Linked DNA regions of Lepisosteus oculatus. The protein of the gene in region 1 interacts with the protein of each later gene in a pairwise test. Links are inferred from orthologs where the notes say so. Each region holds a gene or a part of one and is shown on either strand. Other genes may lie near its edges.

Region 1 (15,680 bases):
CCTGACCATGTATATAATTTACTGTGTATTATAGGAACTTGCTAGATTATCTTTTAAACTATGAAAAGGATTTTCTAATTGCCAACTAGCAGTTGTGGTATATGTTGCTATTGGTAAGAATGATTGGCTTGCCTGCTGTGTCTGGCAGGAAGAAAATAATTTAACACTGTTCACATCTGTGTAGGCAACAATATGCAACCTTCTGAAGCTAGTTGAATGTCCAAACAGCATTTCAAAATATCCAAATGAATCTTGTTCCCTGTGGTTTTTCCTTTGAACTAGCAGCATTTAAAAACTATACCCTTAGCAAGCACTGTTGGGAAAGCCCTCAGAGGCAGGGCAGCAGCAAAGTTCTTTGTGGCTCTTAGTAAGACATGCACCAAGCAAATTCAAATAACCACCATGAACTTAACCTTGAAAATTCAATTTTTTATGGACCACCACTGCAGTTATTTCTACAGTTTTGTTAACTTCGTTTTCATTAAATTGAATCCCTGGTTTCAGACGGCAACCCTAGAATAGTGTTGTTCTCTTGAAAAGGTCTGATGCTCCATTGTCTACAAGTCGTTCAGGAGTCACAGAAAAGTTATTTAGTGTGCGTCTTGAAGTTTCCTTTAATATCACGTATCCCAGTTACATTCTTTGCAGGCGATTTTTACTAATCTCAACTCCAGCTCAAAGGCGTCAGGCCGCTCCTGTGGATTGGCGGCCAGCATCTCCTTAATGAGTTGTTTCATGCTGGCATTCATGCTTTTCTTCTTGACGGGGATGTGGAGTTCCATTTTGGGGTTTTCTAAGAGAGCTTCCCCAACAGGCACAATCTCTGAGCCCTGCTTGACATAGCTCCCCAACAGTTCTTTCTTGGTCTCCGTATCAATGAAGGTGATGCGCTCCAGCATGGCCCAGATGATGATACCCAGAGCAAAGATGTCTGCTTTGGCTGTGTAGTGACCCTCCCACACCTCCGGGGCCATATAAAAGTCCGTTCCACACGCTGTAGACAGGAAACACTTGTTGACATTAGCGGGCTCTTCGGGGTTAAGCCCAGAAGATGAGCACACCTTGCTCAAGCCAAAGTCTGCCACTTTGAGCGTAGGCTCAGGCACGCCTGTGGGAGTCCTGCTCTGCGAGATAAGGATGTTGTCTGGCTTGAGGTCCCTGTGGATGATCTGGTTCTTGTGCAGAAAGGCCAGGGCACTGCCCAGCTGGAGCATGAAGCTGGTGTTGGTCTTACGGCTGGGCTTCCGTGAAAGCAGGTAGGCGTTCATGTCTCCCCCGTCGCAGAAGTCCATGACAAACCACAGGTAGTAGGCGCTACGTGGATCAAAGGCAATCTCTCCTTTCAATGATGTTTCCACCAGCTTGAAAATAAAAAAGTGATGTTATTTGTCAACACTACCTGTACAGATATAAGAATTTCATTTTATTGCAGGTGATAGCTTGCAGTGCTATAGTAGGATTGCAGAGATTGATATCAGCAAGGAATCTCAGCCTCAGAACAAAACATGGTCATTGTGCTAAAAAAGCAATGACAGTCCTCCAGAAAAAATGAAAGTGCGCTGTGCAACTTTCACACAAAAAAGGATGAAGTGCAAATAACGCTTTCTATTTCTTACAAGTGCTAAATACAGTAGATTCTATGCAATTTGTAGAGAAAAAGGTCACATGAAGGACACGCAGATTTCAATATTTTGGATTGATAAAAGAGGGGAAATCATCCATTTTATACAGAAAAGCCTATAACAAAATGAAATGCATTGTCTGCATTAGAAAACAATTGAGGCAGTTACATAAAACACCAACAGAAACATTTCTGCAAGAAACCTGGGATGGCTGCCAAAATTCCTGCCATGGCAAAGCACTGAAGTGACTAACAAGCTATTTAAAATGCTTTCATGCACTGCTGTGATTTCATAATCAAGAATTAAAAGGCACTCTCACCGAGATGTCAATGTATTTATTACTTCGGAGACGCTACATGCACAGGATAAAACAGTTTAAACAGGAGGACGTTGCAGTAACTCCTGAAAGGGCACCACCTGACTCGCATTTAGCCCTGACCCAACAGCTGGACCTACAAGTGTGCCCAACCTTTCTCCACATTAAGGGCACAGTGGTGACCAGCCAAAGCACAAAGAGACACACAGACTAACACCCGTCACATAATAGCCCAAGGAGAAAGAGACCTTTTGAATGCAAGAAAAAAATGAAAAAATAAAACCCTTTCCAAAATCTGCTACTATTCCTCTGTAAATGTTGTGGTTAGCACCGATCATGTGAACACTGGACTGGAGAGGAATGTGCTCTATCAATGAAGTGCAGACAAAACTAAAGAACAAGGACAGAGCTAAGAATGAGATGCATCCTAACTGCTGACTTAGAAACATCCGGTAGCTTGTGAGTACCTACAAGCTCCGACCTGCAATTTACCATGTACAGTATAGGTGCTACACAAAAAAATAGTCCAGGTCACAAAATTCTCAGGAAAAAAAACACCCATACTGTAAAGAAATTCCACAGTAAAATGTTAATACAATTAAACATGTCCCTTAATTAAAAGACTCAGATTATATACAACTTATATATTTAATAAATAATATTTAATACTATTGAAAGGTAAGGTAAAATTTATAAAATCATTAAAATTGGCTTAGTTGACACCATCATCCAGGGAGAAGAAAAAAACACTTTCAGTGAGATTCTAAAACCTGCCTATTAAATAGATACCTGTATTAAATCAAATAAATAATTTATCTAAATAATATATATATATAAACAATAAATTATTGCAGTGCTTATGGTCCTCAATGATTTGGTGATCAGGAAATCTCTTAATAGTCAATTAATATTAAATATCAGTATTCTCCAACAATTACACTGGAAAAATCAAGAGTCACATCTTCACATTTGCTGTATGCAAGGTTAACGGCAACCTTGCATGTTTGCAGGACATGACCCCGAATAAACCCAGGAAATTGCAGCAGTGGGTGTCATACAGCAACCCACAGGTGTCTCCAACAAACTCCACACACCCACATCCCAGTGGGGGAAGCATGATTCTGTTTTCAGTGCCACGGCACCCATGCGGAAACACAGTCAGGCTTAAACTAAACTGGGGCCGGCAAACGTGAGACAATAACGAAACTGGCGATCTTCAACAAAACCAACAGCCGCATACCTGCAGGTAGAGCGAGGAGCTGGAGCCATGCGTCATCCTCTGCACCAGGCTGTCTCGCTGCAGGATGCACTCTTCCAGGTGGATGACGTTGGGATGCTGGCTCTGGATGCTGCTCAGAGCCCAGAACTCCCGCAAGGCCAGCTCCACGTTTTCAGGAGCGTGGCACCGGATCTTCTTGACGGCCACACGAGCTCCGGTCTTCCTCACCAGTGCCTCGTACACCACACCATAGCTGCCACGCCCCACCTCCTGGATGAGCTCATACTTGGGCTGGCTGCTCACCATTCTCTCGCCACCCACTCGCTGAAACAAAGCAGACAGAGAGCTGGAGAGTGCTCTCCCAAATCGACAGTACTTTCATAGTTGGCAGTATGAAAGGGGCAGCAGAGAATTCATTAAATATTTGAATGTACATAAAACAAGTTTGATGATTTCAGCAATAATATTTTAAACTACGGTATCATCCCAAATACACCTTTTAACTCCCTAAACCACTAAACCTTTTAATATATAATTTGGGTTTATTCTTGGGTTCACTTGGGTTAATCAAATTTTTGCAGTATTTTCCCCTCCACTATTTTGCTTCTGTTGTAGAGTCTGACAGTTCCACGTTACAACACAGTTTGCAGAAAACTGCTCAGATATAAGAATTAATGCAAAAGCATTATTGTGGTGTATCCTACTGTGAAATCAGAATCCTTTTCCTCATCTTAAGCAACCAGAAAAAATATTTAACAGCAATTCTTGTTAAAAGTGTGCTGAAAAACATATCTCATTATATTAATATTAGGCCCATAGTGCTACTTAGTACAGGATAACAATAAAAAATTAAGCCAGCTTTGTACGTTATAACAGCTTGTCTCATACCATGGTAAAATTAGATTTAAGAGAAAATGCTATTGATTGTTAATTCCTTTTCTCAACCTATGTCTGACACAGAGCTCTACAATTTGCTTTCACCTTTGCACGTGGATACATTCTGGACTGTCATTTCAGTCCACAGGCTGTGATGTTGCAAAAAGCACCTGATGTACAAAATAACCACATGTACACAGCCTCTACTTCCTTGATTGCAACTTGAGCAGAGCAGTCTCTCTTGGCATGCAATTCGGTCTCTTCCTGTCTCAGCTGTAACGTTCTGGGCCTCGAGATAAATAAATGGGACCTTGTATAGAACCAAAGGCTGCTCTCAGTGGCAAGTGAGAATAAAGACTAATCCCATGAATTTAGTCAACCAACAGTAATGCTGTTAAAAAATGCAATTCTTTTAGCATCTGAGGTATATATATATAGACAAAACAACTCACAATCTGAACTAACGGTATTTTCTGTAATACTCCTATCCAAAGGCTGAGCATTATCACCATCCTACACTAACATGCTGACTTGTGTCCAGGTTTCTCTCGTGCTTTGTTTTAAAAGGGGGAAACTATTCTAAAAGCTTTAAAACCTTCACAAAGATGTTGTAAACGTCTCTTAAAGAGCATGCAGCTTCTGCCCTTGCTCGATTTTGAAACGGAGTAGCTCAGTGCCCTGCACTTAATTTTTAAAACACGACTGAAAAATGCAAGGGAAAGCAGCCATTCGCAAACACTCTGCGATTTCCTTTCAAACGTCAGAAAGCAACCCTTCTATTGTTTTCTATTCAACTAGGTCCAGTTTGCAAAGGGCGAGCCAGTGCTTTCACTTTCTGTACCGCACACAGGAGTGTTCCGGGAAGATCCCGCTCCTAATAAAGCTACGAAGCACAACCGTGTGGTAATGCACTGGGACGTCTCGTATTTCAAAACACACCGCTTGTGACAAACGTCAATACTGGAAACTCTCGTTACTGCGGTTTTGTTTCGCGCCTCAACGTCCTTTTTAGGCACCAAACTCTAGAAAACTCGAGTGCAACGTGGTGAAGTTACTGTTGTCACTGTTTACCTATCATTGGGGCTACCCGTCTAAAACACCGACTGGACACTGGACTGCACAATGTCTTTACTCGTGAACAGTGGTAAGGGTATCCTACACGGCGAGGCTAGACTGTCTTCAGCTCATGTTCGACCTCAATGGCCCCTGTCATATTAGTGTGTAAGCTAGGCATAAGCCATCACGTCAGGTTTCTGAAATTAAACCCAGCTCAGTCGTATTGTCGGTAATGGACCGCTCATTAACAGAAGAGTGAATTGTAAGCCCACGAAGTGGACTGCAGCTCCCGCCTGCGGTGTGTGCACCCCGAACCAGAACCAGATCGGGCTCAGCCGCGCAGGTGGCAAGACTGTCAACTAAAACCACAGGCTAGAATAGAGCATGCCGCACGATCACCCTGAGCAGAGCCAGGGACGTGAGCGTGGTTGTGAGCCGTGCAAGTCCTGCTCCTAGCACCCCTGTTCAGAACATGGACACAACAACACCAGGCGATGCCGGCGCATTTGGGATCCAACGAGAAAGAAAACAAGGTTTCGCCCGCACGACAAAATAAGGCCCGCCACCATCCGTGAGCAGCAAAACGTGGCTCCTGAATATTTTATAGTGCAATACACAAACACAATGGGACGACAGGCGTGTTGCTAACAATGTTCCTTCACACTGAAGCGAGCCCCTCTTCACAAAGACCGCAAATAAGGAGACCGAGGACCTGGATTGCGTGCGAACACTACGTTAATCTAGAAAGTTGAAAAAATACGAAGGTTACTACAATTCCCCTCAGCTCTTTCGCACACAATACTGTGTGTAACACTTAATGGATCCGAAACCACTGCTTATTGTCCCCCGTGTCCCTGGACAACAGCTTTTCTTACACCAGTGGGGGATAACCCGCACGTCTTCATCTACCTGCCACACGACGAGGAAGGCAAATCATCAGATCAAATAAAAATAAACCCCCCCCAAAGGATGTTACCTGATCGAAACGTTTTTCTCTTTCACGGGATCATTTGCTGCCTTCTCCCCCGCGCTGTGGATTTTGCTGGCAGCCATTATAGACCGCCGCGCTCGCGCTCGCTCTCGCGCTGCTTCCCGTGCCAGCGAGCTGCGCGAGTGAGCGAGAGGAGCTCGCGGACCTGCTTCGGAGGAGCTTCCCGGTCCCGGCGCGCGCGCCCGCCCGCCCGCCGCCGCTCACCCTAACGGGAAGGAGACGGTAGCTCTGAAACACACGGAAAAGCAAACAAACAAAAAAACCACTCCCCAGTGTTTTGGAAGGATTGTTTCTGACGAGTGACCTCTCAAAACGAGAGAAACGTTTCAGGACAATTTAACATCTGGGAGCAGATTAGGGTTCCCCACCCCCTTTTTCCTCCATCACCCAACCCAACCAAAACAAATCTCTCCTCCCTCCCTCTCCCTCCCCTTCCAAGACAAAATATTTGACCAAATATTATTTTTTTTTATTGAACTATACAAATGACAAGCTGATACACGAGAAGAAGAGACACTACGATGGTATATTTAATAGCAGGGGGCGACGTCACCCCGCAGCCACGGCCAGAGCTCGTATAAGAAACCATTTTCAAATTCGGTGCACGCGCCGGGCATCGCTCACTCCGATAAATCCGGAGGGGAGTCATTCAAGAACTCCCTTGCTCAAGGATCGTTTCCCAAAACATAGATCCGCATTTAAATAGTGTAATAATTAATATTTTTTTCTAAATAACACGGTCTATCCTTGTCTAAGATCTGACACGATATACTTTCCGCGAAAACAATTGCGCTGAAAGCCCTCTAAAGAAGTATGGATTGGTTCGCTCCAAGTGGCTCAGGGACGGGTAGGCTTATTTTAAAAGGGTGACAAAGGAGAAAGAAGTGTTTGTATCCTGAAGAAAATGGGGTTCGTCCCTCATTTAAATAGACAGATAACAATAAACCTCACATAAAAAAGGAAGTGGAATACAGAAACGCTGCTTGCTTTACACCTATTAAGTAACGTTTAACGAGAAAGACGCAACCGCCCCCCTTATTTTTTACCCTATGAAATATTCTCTTAAAGGGGCCGCTCCAAAAACAGAAAGTTCACATTAGGTTTTTAATGGGAAATCTTAACAGAAACAAACATATGAAACCTCCCAGGCAATCTAAAATGGCTTACCTGATAATGTTAGAAACAGCTCATGTACACTGGAATGGTCATACTGTGACACATATATTTCAGATCTGGTGTCTTAAATAAGGGGTTCATGGAAGTTCACAAAATGTTTAGTGGGACTAATCTTCAATCGTCAATTTAAATCTATACATAAAATCTATCAGCGTTCCATATGTTTAAAATAACAAAAAAGTAATGAAGAAACACCCCACCAGAGATCCAATCCCAACCTGTTCTCCTTTCAGGAAGGGTTGAAGTACAGGGGTCAAGGGTCAAAGAGCCTGGATTTACAATATTACAATATTTAAACCGGTGGTTCCCACTTCTCCAGTCTGGTGAGCTGGGCATCCACGTCATAACTGTCACATTCTCATTTCGCAAGAGAACCGACGTTGCATCTCTCTTACCCCGATGAAACTGCGCATAAAGCTTTTGGAACATCTAGAGTTTTCATTCTGAACCGACTGCTCTATAAAGAAAGCGGATGGATATTTAACTTGTCAGTCTCGATGTGTAGTGCATAACGTGGACTGGTTGGAGACTCCCTGGAGAGGGCTGCGAGAGTTTTTGTTGTGTGAGGGTGTGCGCTGTCCCTGCTTCCCTAATGGGAGGTTCTCAAGTCAGGAAGGACCCACAGCAAGGGCAGCAGGGGATGTCCAGCACTCAGTACTGTGCAGTCAGGCTTCTTTGAGACACTCCAAGTGGAGTTCTCCAGAGACACTGCTGGCCAGGCTACAATATTTCAACCTTCACATCAGTCTTGGGGGAGTGGTGTGGCTCTTTGGTCACCATGTCAGGTGACCAGTAATTGCCAGACTGAATATGACTGTAACATCTTGCCAGGTTAGAAATGGCTGTCGGTGAGCAACACTGGACTAACATAGTCCAGCCTCCTATACAATAAGAATGTGAAAGTGTCATTAAGTGGTAAGTTGGACATATTGGTTTCTTTCTGTGTTTTTCTTTCTTGATTTTCACCAGGCCTGACATTCAACACATTAAGCCCTCTCCCATCACCTGTGCCCAACCAATTCTCTCAGTCACAAAGTGATTTAGTGCTGATGCTACAAATTCACTCGAGTGTATCGCCCGGTCAATCATAAATAATCAATTAATCAAACTGAAGCCAAAAACATCAAATCAATATTCAAAATCGGTATGATTTTTTTCTAAAAACACACAACATAGAATAAAAACAAGTTCTTTTTTTGCACGGTATACAGATTTTTTACATTGCAATAGACAAATAACATACATTTTAAGTGAATTGTGACAGAAACACACACTGAACTATTACATGAGTATTAAGCCACTTTCTGGGTTAAATAATGAGAGGAGAGGTACATATTAATATCCTTGATACTTTAGCTAGCCAGCTGGTTTGGCAAGGCTTGTTAAAATTATGCTTCTGGTTGGCGTCACAGACAACAATGTTAACTTCTTTAAGCCATGGTCCTCTTATCTCTTCCCAAAAAGTTTTGTATACTTTTTGTACTGATGATGCTCAGACCTTCCTCCCGCTGTTACTGTCTCACAGCCATCTTCTTCTGGAGGCACCGCCATCATCTTCAATCACCTCTTGATTGAGTCTGGCCTCCCTTTCGTCTCATTTCCCCCTTTTGTCGTCCTCTCTCTCCCCCTCTCTCCACCACCGCCCTCCTCTCCCGCTCCTCCTGCAGTCTCAGTGTCCCTCCTGCCCCAGCTGTCTGTTTAGACAGCTCTGTTGATCTCTCCGCTCTCCTCTGCTTCCTTCTTCCACCTTTATAGTGCATCCCTGAAATTCGAACAATTCCCAGACCGTAACTTGATAAGCGCACTTATGTTCTGTAGACATGGGAGACACACCACCAAGATGCTCACATTACTGCTTTGCACCCATGCTGTATACAGCTTTATTTTTTACTGTGTTGCATTTATTTTCTTAATACTTTTTAAATTAAGCTTTCTGAAAGCCAGTTTAAACAGAATGCTGCAATATTCTCTGTGAATCTTCTTTCAGTCTCTTCTACTGGGGAGGGGGTGGACTCTTTAACGTTTACAGAGAATTAAACAAGAGCTTACTCTCTTCTTTCCTGGGTGAAAAGATTGCGGGGTTTTCTGAGGATAGTCTAGGGCCATTTCTGAATTTCCCATGCAGATAAAAAAAAAACCCAGAGTAAGAAGCACCAAACAGAAAGTACATATCCTGGATCTTTTAGAATGAAGGCAAAAGACACATGTGGTTCTTATATGGACATACTTTTATTAACTAGAAAGCAAGTTGTAGATGTTTTTAAACACTACGAAACACTGTGATCACAGTTCTGTTTGTAATGCATGCTTCAAATACTTAAAAAAAAGAATAAAAAACCCAAACAATCCCAAAACCCACCTGGTTTGGTTGACACGTGGGTAATTATAAAGGAGTTTAAAAGGAAAAACACCCCAAAGCTGGAGTTTTACACATAAACCTTTGGTTTATAGCAGTAAACATAACTACATTCTTCGGTCACTTTATATACAATCTTTTGATTTATATTAGGCATTTACACCAATAGAACGCACACCTCTGAATGAAATGTCTAATTTAAAAACAAAACAAAAGACACACAATAAAAGCACAGTTACACGTACACAAGGGCCTCTGTGCAAGTCATACGTGTTCCTAAGTTGTGCTTAATATGCAACCCTGAGTATTGTTTAAAATGAAGATGACACTTTGGTGTGTATGGTGTTCAGATAGCAGGGTATAAAGGAGAGTGTGGCTGTTATCTATTTCCCTGCAAGTAGAGGATCTGAAAGCACAACGGTAACTCAAATACCATGGCAGACATATTGCACGTCACCACAGACACTGCATTCGGCGATTTGGTTTCCTTCTTCTTTTACAGGAGTCTTAAAAGCCACACAATCAATTGCAGCAGGAAATACAGCAGAACTGTCCTTACCCCACCCAATATGTCTATTGGAGCAAAAACCCTTTTGTATTCAAGCTTCAGCCTTTTCCCTCCTCTCCTTCTGTAAACAATGGCAATCTGCCCTCTTCCCCTGCCCAGAAGAGAAACACACAAGCCCTACTGATGCTTCAGCACGAGGAACACTTCCCCAGCTGTCGTCCCAGAGCCCAAAATGGCTATAGCACAGACTGCCGCAGGCGAGTAGTAAGGGAAATGTAAGGAAGACTCCCTTCATGTGCACTAAATGAAGTCTTTGACTGTGGGTCCGCAACCTTTACTTTCAACATTAAGCTGATTTTTCCAGTGATAAAAAAGAATAATGAGATCTTCCTAGCTGTCGTGGGTCCTTTGGTTTCTAGAGGGTAGTATTTTCATTAGTGTTCTGAGGCTGTAGAAAAATGTAGAACAGGATAAACTTTATATTTTATAAAGACTAACTCATAAGAAAAAACATACCACCCACTGAACACCTTATTCCCTACAATCCTGATTTGGACCTGGCCAGTAGAACAATCCCCTGGGGTATAAACCATTCTTATCTGACAAGAGATGGAGCCACAAAACCTTAATGAGAGGAAGAAGCCCGAGTCTCCTTTCAGGTCCAGAAAGATTTTCTTTTTTTCCCCCACAAGGAACTACTCTGATTCCAAACCCTAGGACAGAGTTGTTCCATAGCCACTGTCAGGTAATGTCATTAGTAATGAGATGGGGTGCTCACTTCCCTTCCTCAAGGGAAGCAAGAACCAGATACTGGAAGGGACAGTTTAAAGCAGCCAATCAGTCCCACTCTGCCAAGCAGCTGGGAGTTGGGAAGGTATCTGAGTGCACAGAAAAGGAGCACAAAAAGACAGAGAGAGCATGCAGGAGGGTAGCCAGTTCTGGAGTCAGGCCTGCGAACATGGAGATGCAAGCTAGCAGTGATAACACTACCACCCCTCCTTGCTGTCAATATAACTCATGATCAGTATGAGGAAGGAGAACAAAGCTATGCTAACCAATACCATAACCATTCTGGGACCCGGGGGGTACCCTTGACCAAGCAAGACCTAAAGGATGAAGGCCTCTGGCAGCATTTGGCCACACAAGCAGCAGTGAACACACCTGGCTGCCTTCTGTCATCTCAGAACACACACGCAGGACTAACTCGACACCAACGGCCACCCATCTGGGCAGAGAACTGCATGCACCGGCGCTGGCACAGCTGGCACAGCGTGTGTGGACACCAGCGCGAGGGAGGAAAGAAGATTCACACATCGACACCCGCGCTGCACAATTCTGGAAATGTCAGACATCACAAAAAACAAAAACAAAACAAAACTTTCTACACGGGAAAAAAGGACAATGTTCTGGTTGCCCCAGTGCAGCAAAACCCAAAGGGTAACTACAATGGAGGCGAATTGCCTTTGTCCCTATTCACACTACAATATCCTGAGGTAGACCTGTATAGATTGCTTACAAGGTTTTTCATCTTGTTTTCATTTATAATAAAAAAACAAACCCACCACCACAACACAACACTAGGACACAACGGGAGGAATCGGGAAGCATGGTGTTTAGTACATTCCTAAATCATCCTAAATCACTGGTAAGACGCTGCACAGTTTGTCTGATACAAGACTTACTACAATCTTACTGTAAATGTCATATTTATATTTGAGAAGGCCTTCCAAGCTAGGAAAATCTTCATACCTTGCAGGATGAGCCTATGCCATATTTTCTAGTTCTGTCTCCACTGAACTCTCAATAATATGTCATCAAGTCATAATTATGCTGCCCTTCCGTCCCGCTGTGGGAAAACTGCACCTACTCTAATCCCCCTAAGGACTGAATTACAAAAGAGGAAAAACATCATACAATAGAACAGTAGTATCTGTACAATAATCATATACAAGAGCAGAGTGCAACAGATCCACTGGACTTAATGCATCATGATTATATGGAGGCATATCGAAAGATTATATATTTTATATTAAAAAAAGAAAAGGTTATTAAGCATTCATTTCAAATGTCTCAGTGCTATAACTTATAAAAGGTGATAAACTGAAGAACACTATGCAAACAGACAAATACTGCTCCCTGGTGGTCAGAGTGAGTATTTCCCATCAAAAGCTGAAATGATTTCAAATTTGGGAGTTCAGTATTTTTTATATGTTTAATTTTAAAATAAGAATTTTAAATCTGGTTTTAACTAGGATCATCTTAAATTCTTCCAAGGAAGTATCCTGGTAATCTTTCAAGAAACTGGAACTCCACAACATTCAGATAAAAATAAATTACCATTTTGACCATAACCCCAGACACCTTGTGTATCCAAGATGCATTTTGGAAATAAGGAAAAGAAACATACATAGTTAAAGATTATATCAGCTGATTTGAGCATCAGTTTCACCAATTAAAATAATGAGTTAAAGTCAGATTTAGCACTTATTGTGTTGTTTCTATTCAGCAATATTTGATTTGTAACAAAGAAATAAGCACTGTCATGGCTGGTTAAGCAAATTTGTGCCTGTAAACAGCTTAATACTACTGTCAAGGAATATCTACAAAAGGACCATCTGTACAAATAGATGACAGATCTTAACTCTTAGACAAATCAATACGTGCTTCAACTAATAAACACAGCTCTTTTTAAATATGTCCAAAATCACAAAAATACACCTACAACCTTATTTAGCCTGTTGTAATAATCAAGTCCTTTAGCCACTGCTTTCAAGTGTGCTGTACTGAGGACTGCTGACTGTTGCACTTGCTCTTCTTAAAAAATAAAAAACAATAACAACACTTTTCTATGCACAACCAAGATATGATTTTGAAAAAAAGATTTTTCACATCTTTGGGCATACAAGCAGGTTCTTTTGTCCCTAACTTTTTACAAAAACACAAAATACAAACCGAACAATTATGAGATTCCATTGTGTGTAGGAGACTATTGGAAAGGGTGGATGTCAGAAAACACATCTTACTACTGACAACAGCTCCTAGCTCCCAGAACACAGCAGCGATTCTTATCTGGTGGAGATTTGCCTGCTTTTCCAAGCAAATGTTAAGTTATTAATGGATCTTTTTAGTCTTTTCAATAACTGGAATTTTTAAATATATTCCTGTTTCCAGTACACTACATTCAAAATATAAATATACACAAATCAGAACAGCTGTGCTCAAGACAGAGTATGTTTATGGCATGGGTTAGGTCAAAGTTCATCCTTAAGCTACATAAAAAAACATGGGAGGCCATGCTTTTTTGTTAAACGTTACACTCCAGAATTGCAGTCCCCAGTCCCCTAGTTATTAGAGCAAAGTAAGACGTGATATTCTACACGCAGTGTCAGAATAAAACATCCAGAAATTGTCTGGTGTTAATGTTTCACCATGTAAGAGCTAAAACTGCTCTCTTATTTAAAATCAAATGTTTGTCAAAACCTGTGCATTTGATCAAAATGTGTTTGTCGCACAAATCCAATTAAGAGGGCTGTTAACTTGGTTTATGTCTGCAAACTTAATTTGCTTCAGGAATGGCTATGCTTTTCAGAGATTCAGATATGGACTCCATCTTACTGGTGCTGTTTGGCAGTTTCAACGTGTCTACCATTTTCCACTGAACCACTGAAAGCTAGCAGAAAGCCAGTCGGAAGCTACTGGCCTGTTGTGTGGTAGGTTTAGGAGCTGTATGACAATCACTTATCCACCCTTTCTATTCCTACCGAAACTCCCAAGACCACAGAAGCCAATTTTAGATATCCCTGAGTTTACGTTTCACGATTCCTGAGAAACAAAACATCATTGCAGTCATAAGGATCTTCGGCAATCTTAAAATATACAAAAATACAGAACAAATACTTTATATTAAAAGATAAATGCATCTTACACATGATTAGTGCAGAGTAACATTGCATTGGTTTTAGCATAGATAAAAGGACTTTTTGATGCTCTCAAGTAGAGAACGGTATTGTAGATCAAAGGTAAAAAAACAGATTGAAATGGATGCCGCTCTGAATCACGAGCAAGCATATTGCATCATGTGGTGGAAAAGGCAAACTGTGGGACAAGACAACAGGTCAAACATAAGGAGAAGTTGTTGAGGCATGGCAGCAAATAAATAATGACTTAAAAGTTGTGAATGGTTCAGAAATACTTACTAAACAGATGGGAAGTCTTTGGCTTCTCCTTGATTTAAAAAAGTCTAAACTATCCTTGATGGGTGCCTAGTCACTGGGAGCCAGCCATCCAAGACAAGCTCTTTATTATAAACTCAATCTGGGATAAGGCCCTTTGAAAACAAACCTAGGAAAACACAGACAGTAAAACATGCAGCAATCCCCTGGAGGCTGTTTGGCAATATACAAAAGTGAAAACTTGGTACCCAGCTCCTTTCCATAATGAACTTTGCCACCACCCCTTTTTTCATCCTAAACTATTCTCACTTCTCTCATTTCCTCTTCTCGTGAAGGAGAGCACAGCATGTCAGCTCTTAGGAGGTATACACAGAATGACTAATGGCACAGAACAGCTAGGACAATGGCATTAACTGTTCTGTCCACTTCTGGCATTCTGGCCTCATTCCTCCACGTTTTTCCAGAAGGAAAGCTGATTGCCACATTCCCACCCATTCCAGGTTGATAATGACGGTTTCTGTATGAATCTTTCAATTACAGAATTGAAATGCGACAGGGCTTCATCCAGTCAGATTCCTAAGCAGCCTTCAGGAGTCTGCTGCCAAAACTCAGCCATGGTCATACCTGTCATTTGTCAAACTAAAAACACATGGCTGTTTATCTGCATCCAATCACAAAGACTCTCCTGCCGGTGATGCCTGGCAATAGCTTTCTGGTAAATGGAGGGCATGAGGCTCCCTAGCCTACAGCTCTTTCCTGCAGGGTGTGCTGCATGTGATGAGCAATGCAGATCAGAAGGGGAAAGGAGTTGTGGCACCAGTCTTGGCAATACTGTGCATGGTTCTGTTCAAAGCAATGCCACGTGCGGTAGGTAAACCGCCTCATTCAAAACATTCATTTGGCCCCTGGAAATCCAACAAACAGCACGTCTTTGGTCGATGCCCCCCTCCCCACCCCTGCCCCTCCCAAGAAAAATAGAAACATTCATTCACAACTGTCTCAATCCACGAACTACACCTTCATCATTCATATCGCAAAGGTGTAACAGTCAGGAAAACCATAACCTTTTAGAATTGCTCTTCCTGTTATTCACATGGACAGTACAGTGGGGAAACCAGTGTACCAAAGGTTCATTTTTCCCCATCTGTTTTATCCATCCATTTCCCAACGGATTATGGGGGAGCTGGAGCCTATCCCAGCAGCCCGGGACGCCAGCCCATCTCTCTCATCTCGGCTCAATTGTACACAACACTTCAGAACGTCTAAAGTTATAATATTAACTGACTTCTTTAAATAAATTGGATTATTTGTAACTTGTTTGGATGCAAATTGCATAATTTAGGTCATTTAATTTTTTGGGTTTAAGACTTCTTTTGTGCACTTTCTCA
Region 2 (15,680 bases), on another chromosome or scaffold:
TGACTCTTTTGTAGTCATGGCTGCTATATGATACTCATCATGAAAATGTGTGAGTGAATGTGCTAGAGTCATTTAAGAGCAGAAAAAGTGGACCATTGAAGGAAACCACAGCCTGTACTGTATCTATGGATATACATCTGTAGGGAAACTGGAGAATTTTCCTTGATAAATACTGACATTAGAGATGTTTGTTGATATAAAAAGTAGTTATGCAGTCAAATGCTTCCTACCTTGGAATTGTGATTGAAGCTACAGCTTAGTCATCAAAAGATTCAATGGCAAAAGTCAATAACTGAAAGTACTATATACTATGTGGAATACCCCTGTAGTTGAGTGCTTTTCTTTTGCACTTAAAAGTTTTTTATACAGATTTCCTTAACTGTTCTTGTTTGGAGCTGTGCAACTTTCTGCTGTATTACTGTCATTTATCCACATTAGAACACATCTTTGGGTCACTCTGAATTAGGATTGTGAAATGGATTGTATAAATCTTTTTTCTGTATTTTTTGTAATTTAGTGTTTTTGTGTAGTGTCATCATACGACATACTTCTCATGTTTTAAACCCTACTGTATTTAATTTTATTTGTTGTGTGTAACTAATTTGTCCAACATGATTTTGTTTATGTTGTGTGTCTATATTTGTCATCAGAGAACTTAAAATACAGTACATCACAGCAGACAGTGGCTTTCCAAAGTTTCAAAATAGGGATACTGGAAATAGTCTTTAATGAAGCACTTACTCAATAATTAAGGTAATGTAACATTGCTTAAATGTTAAATGTTCAGGTCAAATTAAAAATAGTTTATGCTAAAGAGGAACATTAATAAATAAGTTGTTCCTCTTAAAAAATAAATCTATCGATTTAATGTGTCAACAAATCATTGTTAGTACTTTTAAGTGCAAGTGATATGTAATTAATGTTATAGAAACTGTGCACGTGTGATGGAGTATAGGTTAATTTATTGCTGCTTAAATATTTTTAAGTAATTTGTATTTCCCAAGTAGTTATTTTGCTGCCTTTCTTAATATTTTCAATCAATGCAAATTTAAGACAAATGTTCTTGTCTTCAAGCAGCATCACACTGATAAGTTACAAATTCTATGAAAATCACAAGTGAGATTAATCTGAATTTAACCAAATGCACTGCAAAGTATATCTGTAAAGAATGAATTTACTCCGATTATTAAGATTAGTGTGGCAGTCATGTATGTGAGCAGTCATGCATCTAGACATCGTCAAGCTTTCATGGCATAACAGCAAAAGAAGAGTTATATGTTTCATTAATCACTCACATCAATAAACAATGTCCTTAAACATATCAATGGCTTGTGTCTTTTCTGGATCAGGAGTGATTCAGATACCTGTTATTGCATGTTGAAGTTGTCATTAGCAGAAAACCACAAAAGGCTCTGCAAAATCAAAGAGAAAAGAGTGACTAGCCTAAGCCTCCACAGATCTTGAAACCACGGCCTAAAGTTGCTTTGACACACAATTAGGGCATGTCTAAGAAGCACAACAGTCCCAGTGTGTCTTGCATTTATATCCACCATTTAATCTTTACAATATTACATCTTACCCTCTCCTTTAAATGAATCCTCCTTCTGTTTTGTGTACCTGGTGCTAAACTGGAGATGGGAATGAATGTGAAGGTTCATTCCAAACCTATTTCCTTATAAATAAACAAGAAAAAGCAGTAAGCATATTCAGACACTCATAACAATTTCCAGTAAACCTGCACCTCTTCTTTAACACAACTTTGCTTTCCATGGCATCCCAGAGCACTGATGACTGCGCTCTAGATGTAAATTATAAACGCTTCTGATCTTGAAACACACCCAAAACCCTCCTGGTGTAAGTGTAGCTGTTTTGGCTCCATGAATGGCAGTTCTTTGAGGCCTTAAGAAAGACAGAGTTTGTGTAAACAGCAGCCATTCCATTTGGAAATTTGACAACTCTTAACGTTAGTCTGTGAAAAGATGGCTTTATTTTCAGTCCTTGTAATTCAGAAATGGAAAAACTACATTAATACTCCGATTGCTTATGACATTCAAAACTCTTGCCAACATCAGCATTTTAGGACAAAAAAGAAATTGCAGCACTCCAAAATTATGAAGGGTGTGGCAGAATGAATACATGAAGACTGGTATTAAAAAAAAGCTTATTGACAAGCTGCAATGAAAATGTGAAGCTTAAAGTACATACTCAACCTAACTACAGTCCCAGAAACCTAGTTTCTTTTTTATTGCATTGAAAAGAAAAACTTTTTTTTTATTTATTGGAGATACTCCACACACATGCACACTGTGTAGTTCTTTGGAGGCTACAGATCGTCTGGTAAAGGAACCCATTCTAGTTAATTGCATCAGAGAGCAACAATTTAAACATCCAGCATTGTCAGGAAAATGTGACAATAACAGCAGAGTGAAACGATTCAAATGTCCAGCACTGTAAGGAAATAGAAATAATGCATCACTTCTGAGTGCAACTTGAAAATTCGTTGCTGGGATGTGTTTATTTAAAAAGTTAAAAGAAAACAGGAAGCTACTGTAAAGGGCATCACCACTGACTCCAGTTTTAAGAAAGGCCCAGTCAGCAGTCATTTTTCTGAGTAAAAGCAATAAATAATACAAATACTTCCACCCAGCTTCTTAAGTAGCATATTTTTCTAGTTAAAGACATAGATTCTATCTGTAACAACAGTGAACAGTGTTGCAAAAACAGTGTTATTAGTGCAATTCAAGTAAAAAGAGTAAGAAATGGTATCTCAATATTTGCAATAAAAAAACAAGGAATATATTTGATTTGCCTCATATTTTGGGAAAGAGAACTTCCAAGGTTCCCTTTGAAGAATATTACTTAGCTGTGCATCTTGTTAAATAATTCAATATTGGAATGTTCTTGCCAGAAAACGAAACTGACATACAGTAAATATGAATCTTGAAAACTGCAAAGGAAACAAAACAACATGTCCGATTTACAAGCACAATGTGATTCTTCATGAACTGTCAAAGTTCTAACACCGACTGCAATCAAACCATCCAGGGGAAATGTGCTCTGCTGCAGATGATGTCGAAGTGGCTGACTATACAGGAACAGCTAAGCTCACAATTGCAGGCTGTGGCCAGCTATATATATATAAAAACAAAACTTCTTTCTTGGTAGTTCTTCCATAATGCCAGGACAATAATGATTTACATTCACAGCTGTATTAAATCATGTCATTATCTAGACAATGATGAATTTCACATACTGTACAGTATGTATAGTAAGGGGCATTAAAGGCACAATAAATGCTGTTGGTTCCAATACTCATCTTTTGCATTTTTACTGCCTCTCAGCATTATATATGTATATACATCTCTTGAGGACTGTGGCACCACTGTAAATCCATTTACTTTTTTATTTGTAACAAATTTGTCTTTACACTACCCTATGATAATACACACATTTTTAATATGCACATTTAATCTTAAATATATATAAGAAAGAGACTGACCAAGTTGTCCTTTCGCTGTAAAACAGTATACGTCTGGGGGCCAAAACTAATTTGAGGTTGGTTAACAATGAATTATGATTGGCTCAACTGCAGCCTGCCACTCAAGTGTCCAACCAAACTGGCACACTGCCATTTCCTGCCCAGTCTTGCTGGTTATCTGAGAACAAATGTTTATTTCTTAATCAAAACATGTCATTGTTGTTAGCTGTTGATTTTGACACACAGAAACTGTGTTCTGTTAGCCCCGAACTTTTTTTATAAATAAAGGATCAGCACTTCCTTCAGTATCCAGTGAATATACTGTATTTCCACTCATCCTTCTGAAGCGGATAATTAGTAATCACTTTCTGTTTTATTGATTAAACAGTGAATGTGCCAAACTGTGTTTTGTTAAATGTTGAGAGGAGGAAAAGAAAACAGGTTCTCAGATATGTCGCGTGGAGTAATTTTATTTTTAAGCTGCTCTGCTCAGTGAGTGCCTAAACCTAGGCCAAATTGTATTAGTAATATTTTAGGAGTAAAAATCGTTTATGGATTGTTTGTATTTTCCCCATGTGATTAAGTTGTTAAGCATTCAGTTTAGAATGTATTCCACTAGAAGCTTGTTTTCACGTTACATCCACATAGTCGTTAAATCTGAACCTAAGTTTGAGTTTTCCTCCAACTTACTTTCTGAAAAACTTATTTAAAAAACGTAAAACACTTGGCTTTTGTATTGGGTGCATGTTTTTTTTTAATGGACCACGACTGCCATTTTAAAATCAAACTGTCAATGTAAATTAAAATTTGGACAAGTCCATGAAGTCTGAAAGAAACATAAGCAGTTCATTCAGAGTCTGAAAACCAAATCAAATCTCCAAGAGAAAACAGTTGTCCGTATTTAAAAATATGTATTTTTAAATATTATAAAGACGAAAGTTCAGGATATTGTAGGAGAACGTTTTTGTTCCTATGGGCTCACAGAGGGATACTGTACCGTGACACCCCTGACAGCAATTACAAACTAAGAAAAGACGTGAATGAATTACTCGGCTTTTTAACGATGTAAAACTGGCATAAGGTTGTGATCAGATGTTTAAAAGATCAAGTGTCATTTAATTCACACATTCTTCCCAGACTGAGCCTCCTTAGTTAAAACTGTCAACACCTAAGCTGAGTTGCACGTCGCATACAGTACATAAATAAATCTTATCCAGTAAAAATTCAGTGAAGTCTCAGGCGGAGCCCGGTAAAAGGAATACAACTATACGTTCATTCAGGGCAGTACAATCTTTTTGGCGCATATCAAGTCCTTATTTTGCACTGTATCCCACATTCTAAGCAGATCTGTGGGGCTCATCTTATGGATCACTAGAAGGTTTTTGTAGAAACATGGGTCGTTGTTCATGGGACTGATTTTGCGCTTCATAATCCCAAAAGTCTTGAAACCGGGATGAAGTTCTGGGGCGACACCTATTTTCTGCAAGCACATGCCCAGAAATACATCATCGATGGGATAAAGCTCCAGTTTCTCAGAGACGATAAAGAGTCTCCGAGCTAATTCAGGAGACATTAAAAAGCCCCCACCCCCCACGTACGGGGGGTACGGTTTGTCGTAAAGGTCTCTGGGAATAAAGTACTTACTCTGACGGTTCCTAATGGGAATAGCTTTGGAAATGGTGTCCCCTACAAACAAATTTCGCACTTTCCCTTCTTCTGTCTTAAAATCAATCAGTTGCAGTAGATTGTTCGTGTTCACAAAGACGTCGTCGTCCCCTTTAAATATGAACTGCACCCCGGGGCAGTACATGTTAAACCATTTCAGGAAATTCACCTCTTTGAGGGTGAGGTTGAAAAAGGTGTCCATGAAATCCCACTGTAGGATGTCTCCGTATATCCTGTCCTCATACTGGATGAGCTTTTGGAGGTTCTTCGTGTCCTTGCCGGTGGAAGGGCTGCCCAGCAAAAACAGAGTCTTGATTCTCTTCCCACCGGTTACCTGCTCTCTGCCCCACGTCCTGCGGACCGCCTCCCTCCTGTCGTGCTGTTCAATCACCGATTTGACCACCATCAATAAGTGCACGTCTCCGCTCCGGCACGTTTCTGGGTGGTTTATCAGCATTGGGAAATACCTGCAGTGTCTGTACAGGACGAACTGGTGAAATCTCGGGTCCAGGCGTTTGAACCAGTCTTTATTCTTCACGTCGGGATTCTCGCTGCAGTTGATAGCAGTCACATCCCAAACCTTACGCGTCACGTTGGAAAATGGGACAAGATGACCCGCTTCCGAATTCTCAGGCTGTCCCAGGGGGGAATGATTGTAAGAGTCGCTTTTAAATACATTTTTATTCACCCTGGACCAACCGGCGTCCGCCCTGGTTTTCACCATTAAAGTGCCCTTAGCGGCCTCTTCCACCAGCTTGAACTTCTGGATCATTAATATCGTGGCACAGACCAAAGACAAACTCAGAAGAGTTTTCAGCGCTCTCTTCCGTCTGAAAAAATACTCCATTATCTTCAGCATACAAAGGTGTAGTAGCTGCAAAGGCAAACCTGGTTTAAATAAAAATCCGCTTTTTTCATTGTGCAATTAGCGGCCCCGTCGTCTGGTCGTGCTGTTTTAAATTCCGCAGTCTGTAATAGAAACGGTCAATTGCTGCCACACTTGTAGTGAGCTGCGGGGAACGCATGATCCCCGAAACTGAAATCTTTCCGTGGAAGAAACCTGTGTGCACAGTCATTGATATCCCGCTTGAAATTTGTCTACTTTCTGCGGATGCCTACTGGCGAGGAATACCAATGTCTTCCAGAAGTTACTCCGGCGCGGCTCGCGTGTCTGTCTTTCGCTTTCCCCGTTGTTTGAAGAGCATTTATTGCCTTCTTTTCACACGGAAGGTCCGACTGTTCCCTAGCGTTTTCATTTGTGCTTTGTTTCAACGTCCGCTGCGTCTGCTAATTACTTCTCCGCTACTTTTTTTTTGTCATAGCCTCCCCAACCCACACCTCCTCTCCGAGCAACTAAAGGACAGCCAAGTCTCTCGTTTCACCTTAGAGGGCGAAGTCAAAACCGCCTACAACCGCACCCCGCGAAGTTTCTGTCGTAGCAATATTGAAATACGCGTTCCCCTTCATAACTCATTGAAAAGCGGCTCATAAATTGTGGCTTTAATACAGTATACAGAAAATAAGAAAGGTTACAAACGATAAGATACCATTTGGCCAATCTTTCCAGTTTGCTTCCGTGCAGTTTATTGGTCTGGTCATCTCATTCAACAGTTTATTAAAGGAAGCAAGAGTAGTACCATGGTAGTCTGTTCCAGACACTAACGACTCTTTGTGTACACACAGGTGTTTAAAGATTAGTGGTTTCAGATGTTACTGCCGTTCATGCGGATTTCTTTCTGTACATGAATTTATTATTTTTTTATTATTAAATGCTGGTTTAAACATTGCATACCAAATCTTAATTTTGCTTGCGAGTTTGCAGAATTACAATTTTATTATATTGTCTTTATATATATATTGCTGATACATACAGTAATTTATCAAAAAATAAATAACCCAGTATTCACACACACAAACCAAAACACTGCAGGTGAGACCGTCTGTTTCGTGAAATAAATTAAACTACTTCAGAATCCAGTCAGATTAGCTGGATAGGATTAAATCGATAACTGATTTCAGGTTTGCTCCGTTTTCCCTCGGAGAACTCCGGTTTCTGGTTAAATTGAACAAGTTAGGCCAGTCTGACTACCTGCGCGCTCACGACTACCTCCAGAAGACAGCAGAGCATCAATCAATCAAGATTTATTTATCAATGCACGAACAGTAGAGCATACAGCAGTGTTGTCGGCAATGGCATGCTTTATCCGCATCGATTCCTTCATCAGCACCAGCACCAGTGTGAACGTGCGTTTTTTCCAGTGACCATGAATTACGACTCCTTTTGGAAAACTATGAGGAGATAAAAGCTGTTATACTGTAAATGCTGCAAAAGCCGGGGACGTCGCCTAACACCGTATCGCCGATACAGAAGTTAATAATGAAATATCTCAAGATATGACACAACTATCACCATGGCGAGAGCATGCATATATTATCTTTACTTAACGTTTATCATTATGTTATTGAAGTGGAGCCCCCTTTTAAACTATCACGGCACAATATTGTTTTCATGCGGCAGTAATTGCAGTATTTTATGCATGGAACTGGACCGCAATGGAAAAACAAAATACAAGAATATCATCCAAAGTGGTATGTGGTTTTCTTTAGAACAACTGTAAAATGCTGTACACAGTGTTGTGCAACATTTGAATAAAAACGATACCTCATTTTAGCCAGCAGCAAGAATCATGAGCAGAAGATGACTGAACGTTAATAGTGAAGATATTGGTAATAATGAATGAAGATAATCAACCCAATAAAGAATTATTCCTTTATTGGGTTTTTGTCTTTTTACCAACGTTTTTTTATCTGAATCGATTAGTAGAGGTGAGACTCCCACCACCATATTGATGAAAGTCTCAAGCCAAGTAAAATGTGGCCTAAATATAATCGGAAGAAAAAATTAACCCAGACATAATTAGAGAGAATATATCCTAAAACAATGGCCACCGTTTAACTAGACATGGCCTGTCTGGGGCTGCCCTCAGAGCACTAAGACAATCACATCTTGACTTGAGGATCCCAAATGTCATCTCAATGTGGGCTCTTGTCTTTACTAGGTTCTGGATCAGGGAAGGGGTCAATTAGATGTTGGAGCTGCCATAATCCCTATCCCCAGAAAGAAGCCAGTCAAACTGACTGGAAGCACTGATCGATGGAACTACATGCAATATCTTCACAGCACAGTGTACCTCAGACCAATGGCTGCTTGTGTTCAATACCTTGCTTAAATTTAAAGCGCAATGTGGACTATCTGAATATTCGAGTCTACATGTTGCTGATTCGACACCGTACATCATGGATCATCGAATATCATAGGAAACATGGTGATAATGGACTTTTTGTGTAATCAATTCATATTTTTTAGGCTATAATTTTTTTTTCCACCAGTACATTGATGTCGTGAATTGATTTTCTTTTAACAAAATCGGTCTCCTTCGACCCGGTGGGGCTTTTAATGTCTGTGCAGTTCAGAGCACCTGTTACATTAGAAAATCCTGCATGCAAATATATACAGTAGATCGCGGGACTTATGTACAGGAAACAAAAAGTACAAGTAGAGGGAAGCTCCTCTTTGCACGGCCCGGAATCGTTATGAATGAATATAAAGACTTGCAGTGCAACCACCACTGTCCTTATCACACGGCGCACTGTCGCTTTGCTGATGCGCTCGGAGTCGCGAACACAGTAAAAATACTGTGGCCAAGAATCTCAAGAGCTCGAGTTTCTGTAAATAATGAGTCACAACATTCGGAATATAGAGGTTTTAAAGGCTTAACCTGGTGCTGTTTGATCCCGCTTCGTGAAACCGAAAAGTCAGACTTTTGTTATTCGGTTAACTAAGTAATCTCGATTTGCGAAAGAGCCCCGAGGGCTAAACCACACAAATTCTGCTTACTGTGTATTAACGCAAATGCAGCAAGGATTGTACTTGTGCCTGATGCAAGCTAGAAAATAAGAGAAATGCACCTAGCACCACCCAGTGGCATTAAGAAGATCTACATAATAATAATAATAATAATAATAATAATAATAATAATAATAATAATAATAATAATAATAATAATAACAGCGACACATCTTGTTTTTTATGTCTTCAGCACAAAAGCCATCGTTACACGATATATTAAACACCTGCTTAGTCATACAAATAATACAAAATAAGTTCTTACACAATGAACACTACATCTCACACGCCCGTGTTGCATTTCGGCATTTAATAATCGAGTTGATAGCTGCAAAAAAAATGGAATTCTAATCTATCGGCAAAGCACACGTGTCGATTAATAAAGAACCTGTGCCTCTGGGGGAAGATGCCCCGTACTAAGCACCCCAAGACGCAGCGCACCCTTAACCCCCACAATGGCCGCCTCCGGCCCTCCCGGCGGTGGGCTGGGCTTGGCGCACAGTCGCGTCATTTGACGAGCGGCTGCTTGGAGTTTTGAAGCCGACCGGGCTTTGCTTTTGTAGAAACTTTTTTTTTGTGCGTTACCCTCCCCGGCAATACTTATTAACTTTTGCCTACCTCGGTAAAGCACTGGGAATGAGTCGAAAACAGGTAGGTTAAGCCGGAGAAACTTCCAGGGTTTCAAAAAGTGTAGGCGCGGTACATAGCGATAGACCGGCCTTTTTTAACGGAGACAACTCCCCGGCGTTCGCCAGTTTGAGACGAGAGAGCCTGGACGTGCTGTAACACTCGGGATACAAATTATATTACGATTGTAAATATTTACACCCCTCGCTTACATAATAAAAGCTTCCTGAAAAAGCAAGCTGGGGCCAAGAAAAGTTCAATTTCCCAGAAACTAGATTTCAGACCCGTGTTTCGCTTTGGAAGACGCGTTCAGGCGGTTTTGCGAGGGTAGCGAGGTCTGTGCCTGCGCTGTGTCCCCGGTTGTGTGAACTCGGGTTCCAGGTTTGTTCCGCCGGTAGGTAATGCGTTACAGCGCAGCACACTGAGATGTTCTGTAAACGAAAGGTTTCGAGCGAGAGGAGGCCCTTGAATTCTTGTCGCACGTTAGGTTGCTAGTAGTTCGGTTCATCTGATCCAACCATTTCCACAAGGATCCCAGGAAGTCTGCGCCGACAGCGTGGCTTCGCTGGAGGCTTCAGTTCTACACCCTTCCCTTTGGAAAAAAAAAACCCAGTATTGTTCTAGCAGCACCTCATTCCAAAACAATAACCGGCAGGAATGTTGTGTGTGAAGGATTATGTATCATAAGGGAGTTAGCTGTGGTAAAGAGTGGTGAGAAATTCTATTTAAAGGTAACCTTAGTCTTCCGAGAGTTAAATCTAAAAAAGTAAGGCAAATTGATCCTTAATAGATCCTTTTACATTGTAATATCTTATATCTTTTATATTCCCATATCACATATCTTTTACACATTTTATTATATTGAGAGCTATCATGAAACCATGATGAATGATGTGGTGGGCAATAATTGTGTATTGTTATGTGTGAGAACAAAGCCATAGTTCTCAGTTCTCATAGTGCTAGAACGCCAGCAGCCATATCACTCTGTAACTGGCACCCCACTGAAGCTCAGCAGGTCAGTACCTGGATGGGAGATGAATGGAAAAATTCAATTCCCCTGGAAAAAACTTAGGTTGCTGTTGGAAGGTGTTAATCGGGCCAGCAGCGCTCACCCTGCGTCTCATGTGGGTCCTAATGCCCCAGTATAGTGACGGGGACACTATACTGTTAACAGGCGCCGTCCTTTGGATGAGACGTAAAGTCTCTGTCATCACTAAAAATCTGTTTCTTCTAAAAAAGTTGTAACCCTGGCATGTCCAAATTTCCCATTGGCCCTTACCAATCATGGCCTCCAAATAATCCCCATCTATGAATTGGCTACATTACTCTGCTCTCCTCCCCACTAATAGCTGGTGTGTGGTGAGCGTTCTGGCGCACTATGGCTGCCGTCGCATCATCCAGGTGGGGCTGCACATTGGTGGTGGTGGAGGGGATCCCCATTACCTGTAAAGCACTTAGAGTGGAGTGTCCAGAAAAGTGCTATGTAAGTGTAAGCAATGAGACACACAGGCACACAGAGTGCAGGGTCAGCCATTTATACGGCGCCCCTGGAGCAGCTGGGGTTAAGGGCCTTGCTCAGGGGCCCAACGGAGTAGGATTCCTCTGCTGCCCGTGGGATTTGAACCAGCAACCTGGTGGTGGTGGTGCTATAGTTAGCATTGCAGCGCTGGGGCCCTGGGTTCAATTACAGACCTGGGGTGTTATCTGTATGGAGTTTGTTTTTCCTTTGTTCGCTTGGGTTTCCTCCCACAGTCCAGAGACATGCTGATAGGTTAATTGGCTTCTGTGACACTTGGTCCTGGTGTGAGTGTGTACGTGTCTGTCTGCCCTACGGTGGACTGGCATCCCATCCAGGCTGTACCCTGTTGCTTGCCAGGATAGCCTCTGAAATGGGAGAAGAGGTTAGTAAAAGGATGGCTGTATCAGGTTTGTATCGGTGTTCCTATTCCAGTTGATTTTTCCTTTTTCTTTTCCAGGGCCGGGGTAAAGTCCGGAGCTCGGAGAGACTCAAAGGAAAGAGCTCCCATGCTTCACTCAGCACAGCAGTGGAAAGTTCAGTTCAGGTCAGTCACAGTAATAATAATAATAATAATAATAATAATAAACAGTCAACTACATTTTATACAGAAACCTTTAAAAGTAGGTTCTCATAACACTTTACAGAAAAGGTAAAAGAAAACAGTTAACACGTATAACCACAAGGGATTAAAAAATGCAGTAGAAGATGCCAGGAGCAAAGACACCAACTAAATAAAAGCCTTTCTGAAGAAGTTTTTGAGTCTGGATTTTGTGCCTAGGGTAGGTGACTCTCTGATATCCTTGTAGATAGAATTCCAGAGGTCTGGACCATATAGGTGAGCATGAGGATGTTGAATTTGACATAAAACCTGATAGGAAGCCAGTGCAGGGACTCCAGGAAAGGAGTAATGTGATCACTTGCACAAGACCTGTTAAGGATTCTGTTTGGATTTAGATACCCTAGCGAATGGAGCGTTGCAGTAATCAATTCTAGTTAAGACAAATGTATTAACTAGCTTTTCTGCTACAGACAGAGAATATAGGACATAGTCCGGTGATGTTCCTGACATGTTTTTACAATATATTGTACATGTGTTCAAATGCCAAGCCGGAATGAAATATCACGCCCAAATTCTTCAATTTAGATTGACATTCAAGTACAGTGTCATCCACAGATAGGGTTACTGCATTGGCTTTACATAGTTGATGAGAGGTGCTTAGAAGCATGAGTTAATCTTGTGGCAGTTCAGATGAAGGAAGTTTTGAGTCATGGAGTTTTTTATGTTAGAGATGCAATTAGAGAGCATAGAAACAGCTGCTACAGTGTCAAGTTTAGTATGGATGTAGACCTGAGAGTCATCAACTTTGAAGTGATAATTCAGACCATGTGATTTTAATAACTGACCAAGTGGGAACATGGAAATGCTGAATAGCAGAGGGCCCAGTATCAAGCTATGAGGAACACCAGTCTTAATGGCCCAACTTCAGAACTAAAACCCCTAAGACAGATAAATGTCAGTGATCAGTAAGGTAAAAGTCATGTCAGAAACAGTGTCAAGGTGGGAGAGTGAGATGTCATGATTTAGGAGAATAAGGATAGATAGAGAAGCGGAATCGGAGGCCCAGAGGTGATAAGAAGATTATTAGTAACTTTGAAAAGGGCTGTTTCACCCCGTTCAGGGTTGCAGGGAAGCTGGAGTCTGTTCTGTCAAGCAACAATCAAAATCAGGGTCCTCACATTTCATGAAAGACTTACATTTTTACAGGCTCCCTTGAAGAAGACTGAATCCCATCGTTCTGTCAAACGGCAGAAATGTGAAGTGCCTGAACCGCAGCCAGAAACGTCGGCAGATGTCCCCGAAGACGTCGGTGGCCTGTCGGGAGGAACAGCCCAGGAGCAGGGCGTCAATGGGAGTTCTGCAAGGGAGCTCGGCACAGCGAGAGGCACACAGAGCCATCTCCCCGAGGCAGAGGAGATGAGCGCCACAGGAGCCAGCGAGTGCCGGACTTTGGAGTCTGAATCCGGTGTTGCGATGAACTCGAGTGCGGAGAGAGCAGTTGATAATTGTGTGCCAAAGCTGGAGCTCCAAATGGACAACAGTGTTTTCCTGGACGAGGACAGTAACCAGCCAATGCCAGTGGGCCAGTTCTTTGGGAATATAGAACTTGTACAGGTACCTTATCTGCTTGTGGTAGGGGTGGTGGAATGGTATTGTTATGGAAATAGGCCTTTTGTTTGATTACGTCCCATCCTGGGTAATGAATGACTTCAAACCTTGAAGTGCAGAACATTTTAGAGCAGAATTTCTCCCGCAGATACAAGCCTGGTTGAAGAACACACTTATCACAAATTAGTCATGAGAAACTGGTTTAGTAAGTTACAGATTTAAGAGAAACAGACTTGCACGTCATAGTTTAGGACTGGAAACATGACCACCTCTTTATGGAAAGAGAAAATCGCAGGACTTCTTGGTTACATACTCTGCAGATGTGCATGGCTGTGTCCAAAACAACTTGTGAGCAGGGCTCTGGCCACCAAACCGGAAGGCTGTGTAGTCATGTCCCTAGGTGATGTAGCCTTGAGTGAAGAACAAGGTGTCACATTGACTCTGCCCAGCTTTTAAAACGAGTAGCAGTGTCAATGGGAGTGATCTTGCAGGGGACTAGCATAGCCGCCGATCTGGGAACACTCAGAACTGTTTGCCTTGTACCCCAGAAGCCAGGATAAACTTAAACCTGATTAGCCACCAGATCAGCGCGCATAGCTTGAAGGTTTTATGATAATATGGTTTTGTTCTGCAGGACGATCCTCCCAGAGCTCCAGCAACAGTCCCAATGAGCCGGAGGGAGTACAGGAGGCTACACTTCATTGCTAAAGACGACGAGGATGACCTCTACGAAGACAGCCACGTGGAACAGCCTCAGCAGAATGGTATTTGCTTTACGTTGTCTTTGGGGACTCAGTGTTGCAAATCCCAATCACTTTGACAATCGCTTTTCCTGGAAAACCTCAGTTCACCAAGACATCGCCTTGAATCATGTACTGGCAGTTACATGAAGCAGCCCAGCTGAGCAGTTTCTCAGTCCATTCTGCTGTTTAATAGACTTTTTTAAATTAAGAGACTTTAGTGAGGTCAAGGGATTAAGAAAACCTCTTCAGAATGTAGATGCTATAACACACACAGTACTTCATGTCCAATGAACTTCATGTATCAAATACATCTGAGTGTTAAACAAGTGATGACACATGGCATACCTCCATTTTTTGCAGGTTCTATTAAAAAGACTGAAGCCGATTGCAGGGTAGCACAGATTTTAATGTGGAGCTTGGCACCTCTGTTGCAATATATACTGATTGGAAAATTATCCGAAATGTTATTTGTAGAATCTCCCCTTCCAGAAAGTTGCAACACTACCATACAATCAGGAAGCTACATAAGCAATGGGAGCAGATGAGAGAGGTACTAATTTTCCTTTTTTGGTCATTTTCATTGCCGATGGCTAAAAAAACCAACAACAAATGCTTCTGGTAATTCCATTATCTGTCGGTTTCCTGCGTTGTATTTGGTTAACGGAGTCAGACGGTTTCAGAGCTGATAGGCATAGCGCTCAAACTGCTGCACCATACGTGATTGAACAGCTGAGGTCTGCAAAGTTGTGTTTTCTTCTATCCCACAGGAGCCTTGCAACAAGTAAAGAACAGAAAAAATGGACTGTTTTGATCTTCAGCCAAGACAAAAGGCAACCCATCCTTGTGAGAAGTATCAAGGCCACTTTTCCAAATGGTTTTTATTTTACTCACAAGCAATGTATTACTGTAAAAAAGTGCTTGTGATTGTTATATAATGTTGAGGAGCTTGCTCAATGTTTAAGATTGACTTAAGAAAATGTGTTCAGGTCAAGTAGAAATGAAGGGGTTTACTTTATAACTGAATGTAATGCAATCCTGGATGTGTGTATATACTGTAATACACTTGAAAAAGTTTGTATGAGCATGTTATTTTTTTCTATTCACCATTGCGCTACACTACTGTAGTACCTATATTAAATGCCCAATACTGCCTTAAATGTTAAAATAATGGAATTAGTCTTTATTGCTGGAATTAATTTTTATGTTGATTTATTACCAACTGTACTGCTGTTTGGATGTCGTTTCTGGTTATAGAATGATGCAAACAGCTCAAAAGACTTATGCTTTGGATTACTTATGATTTTCATCACAAATACAAAAATAAACTTTGAAGACATAACGTATAGTGTTGCTCTGATTATATTGTAAAAATTAATGGTTAGATTGAAATGGTTTTCAAAAGTGTTGACAAAAGTGATATACAGAGCATTAATGTGTAGTAATCAATATTCAATATAACATCTTGTATGTTGTGAAATGCTACATGTGGTCAGTGAGTGAAGAATATTTGGGGAAATGGTAAGCAAGTTCAATTGTATTTTTGTACAAGATCAATGCTGTTTTAGTTCAGATTT

Evidence for each region.
Region 2: the proteins of pdik1l (region 1) and c25h1orf174 interact in binary tests that used the Homo sapiens proteins (3 or more experiments, as listed by UniProt). The two-hybrid records come from large-scale screens. The link is inferred for Lepisosteus oculatus from reciprocal best matches to the Homo sapiens genes PDIK1L and C1orf174.

What each region holds. Positions count from the first base shown.
Region 1 is NC_090706.1:5,713,305-5,728,984, reverse strand, and holds the start of pdik1l (serine/threonine-protein kinase pdik1l), read right to left. Parts: upstream 6,483-15,680; 5' UTR 6,066-6,482; intron 3,482-6,065; 5' UTR 3,464-3,481; coding exon 3,179-3,463; intron 1,362-3,178; coding exon 621-1,361; 3' UTR 1-620.
Region 2 is NC_090720.1:3,838,319-3,853,998, reverse strand, and holds the start of c25h1orf174 (UPF0688 protein C1orf174 homolog), read left to right. Parts: upstream 1-9,554; 5' UTR 9,555-9,686; coding exon 9,687-9,701; intron 9,702-11,653; coding exon 11,654-11,740; intron 11,741-12,961; coding exon 12,962-13,369; intron 13,370-13,997; coding exon 13,998-14,127; intron 14,128-14,580; coding exon 14,581-14,651; 3' UTR 14,652-14,656; intron 14,657-14,873; coding exon of another isoform or gene 14,874-14,917; 3' UTR 14,918-15,680. Other genes in the region: b3gnt7l (UDP-GlcNAc:betaGal beta-1,3-N-acetylglucosaminyltransferase 7, like), read right to left, coding at 4,755-6,002.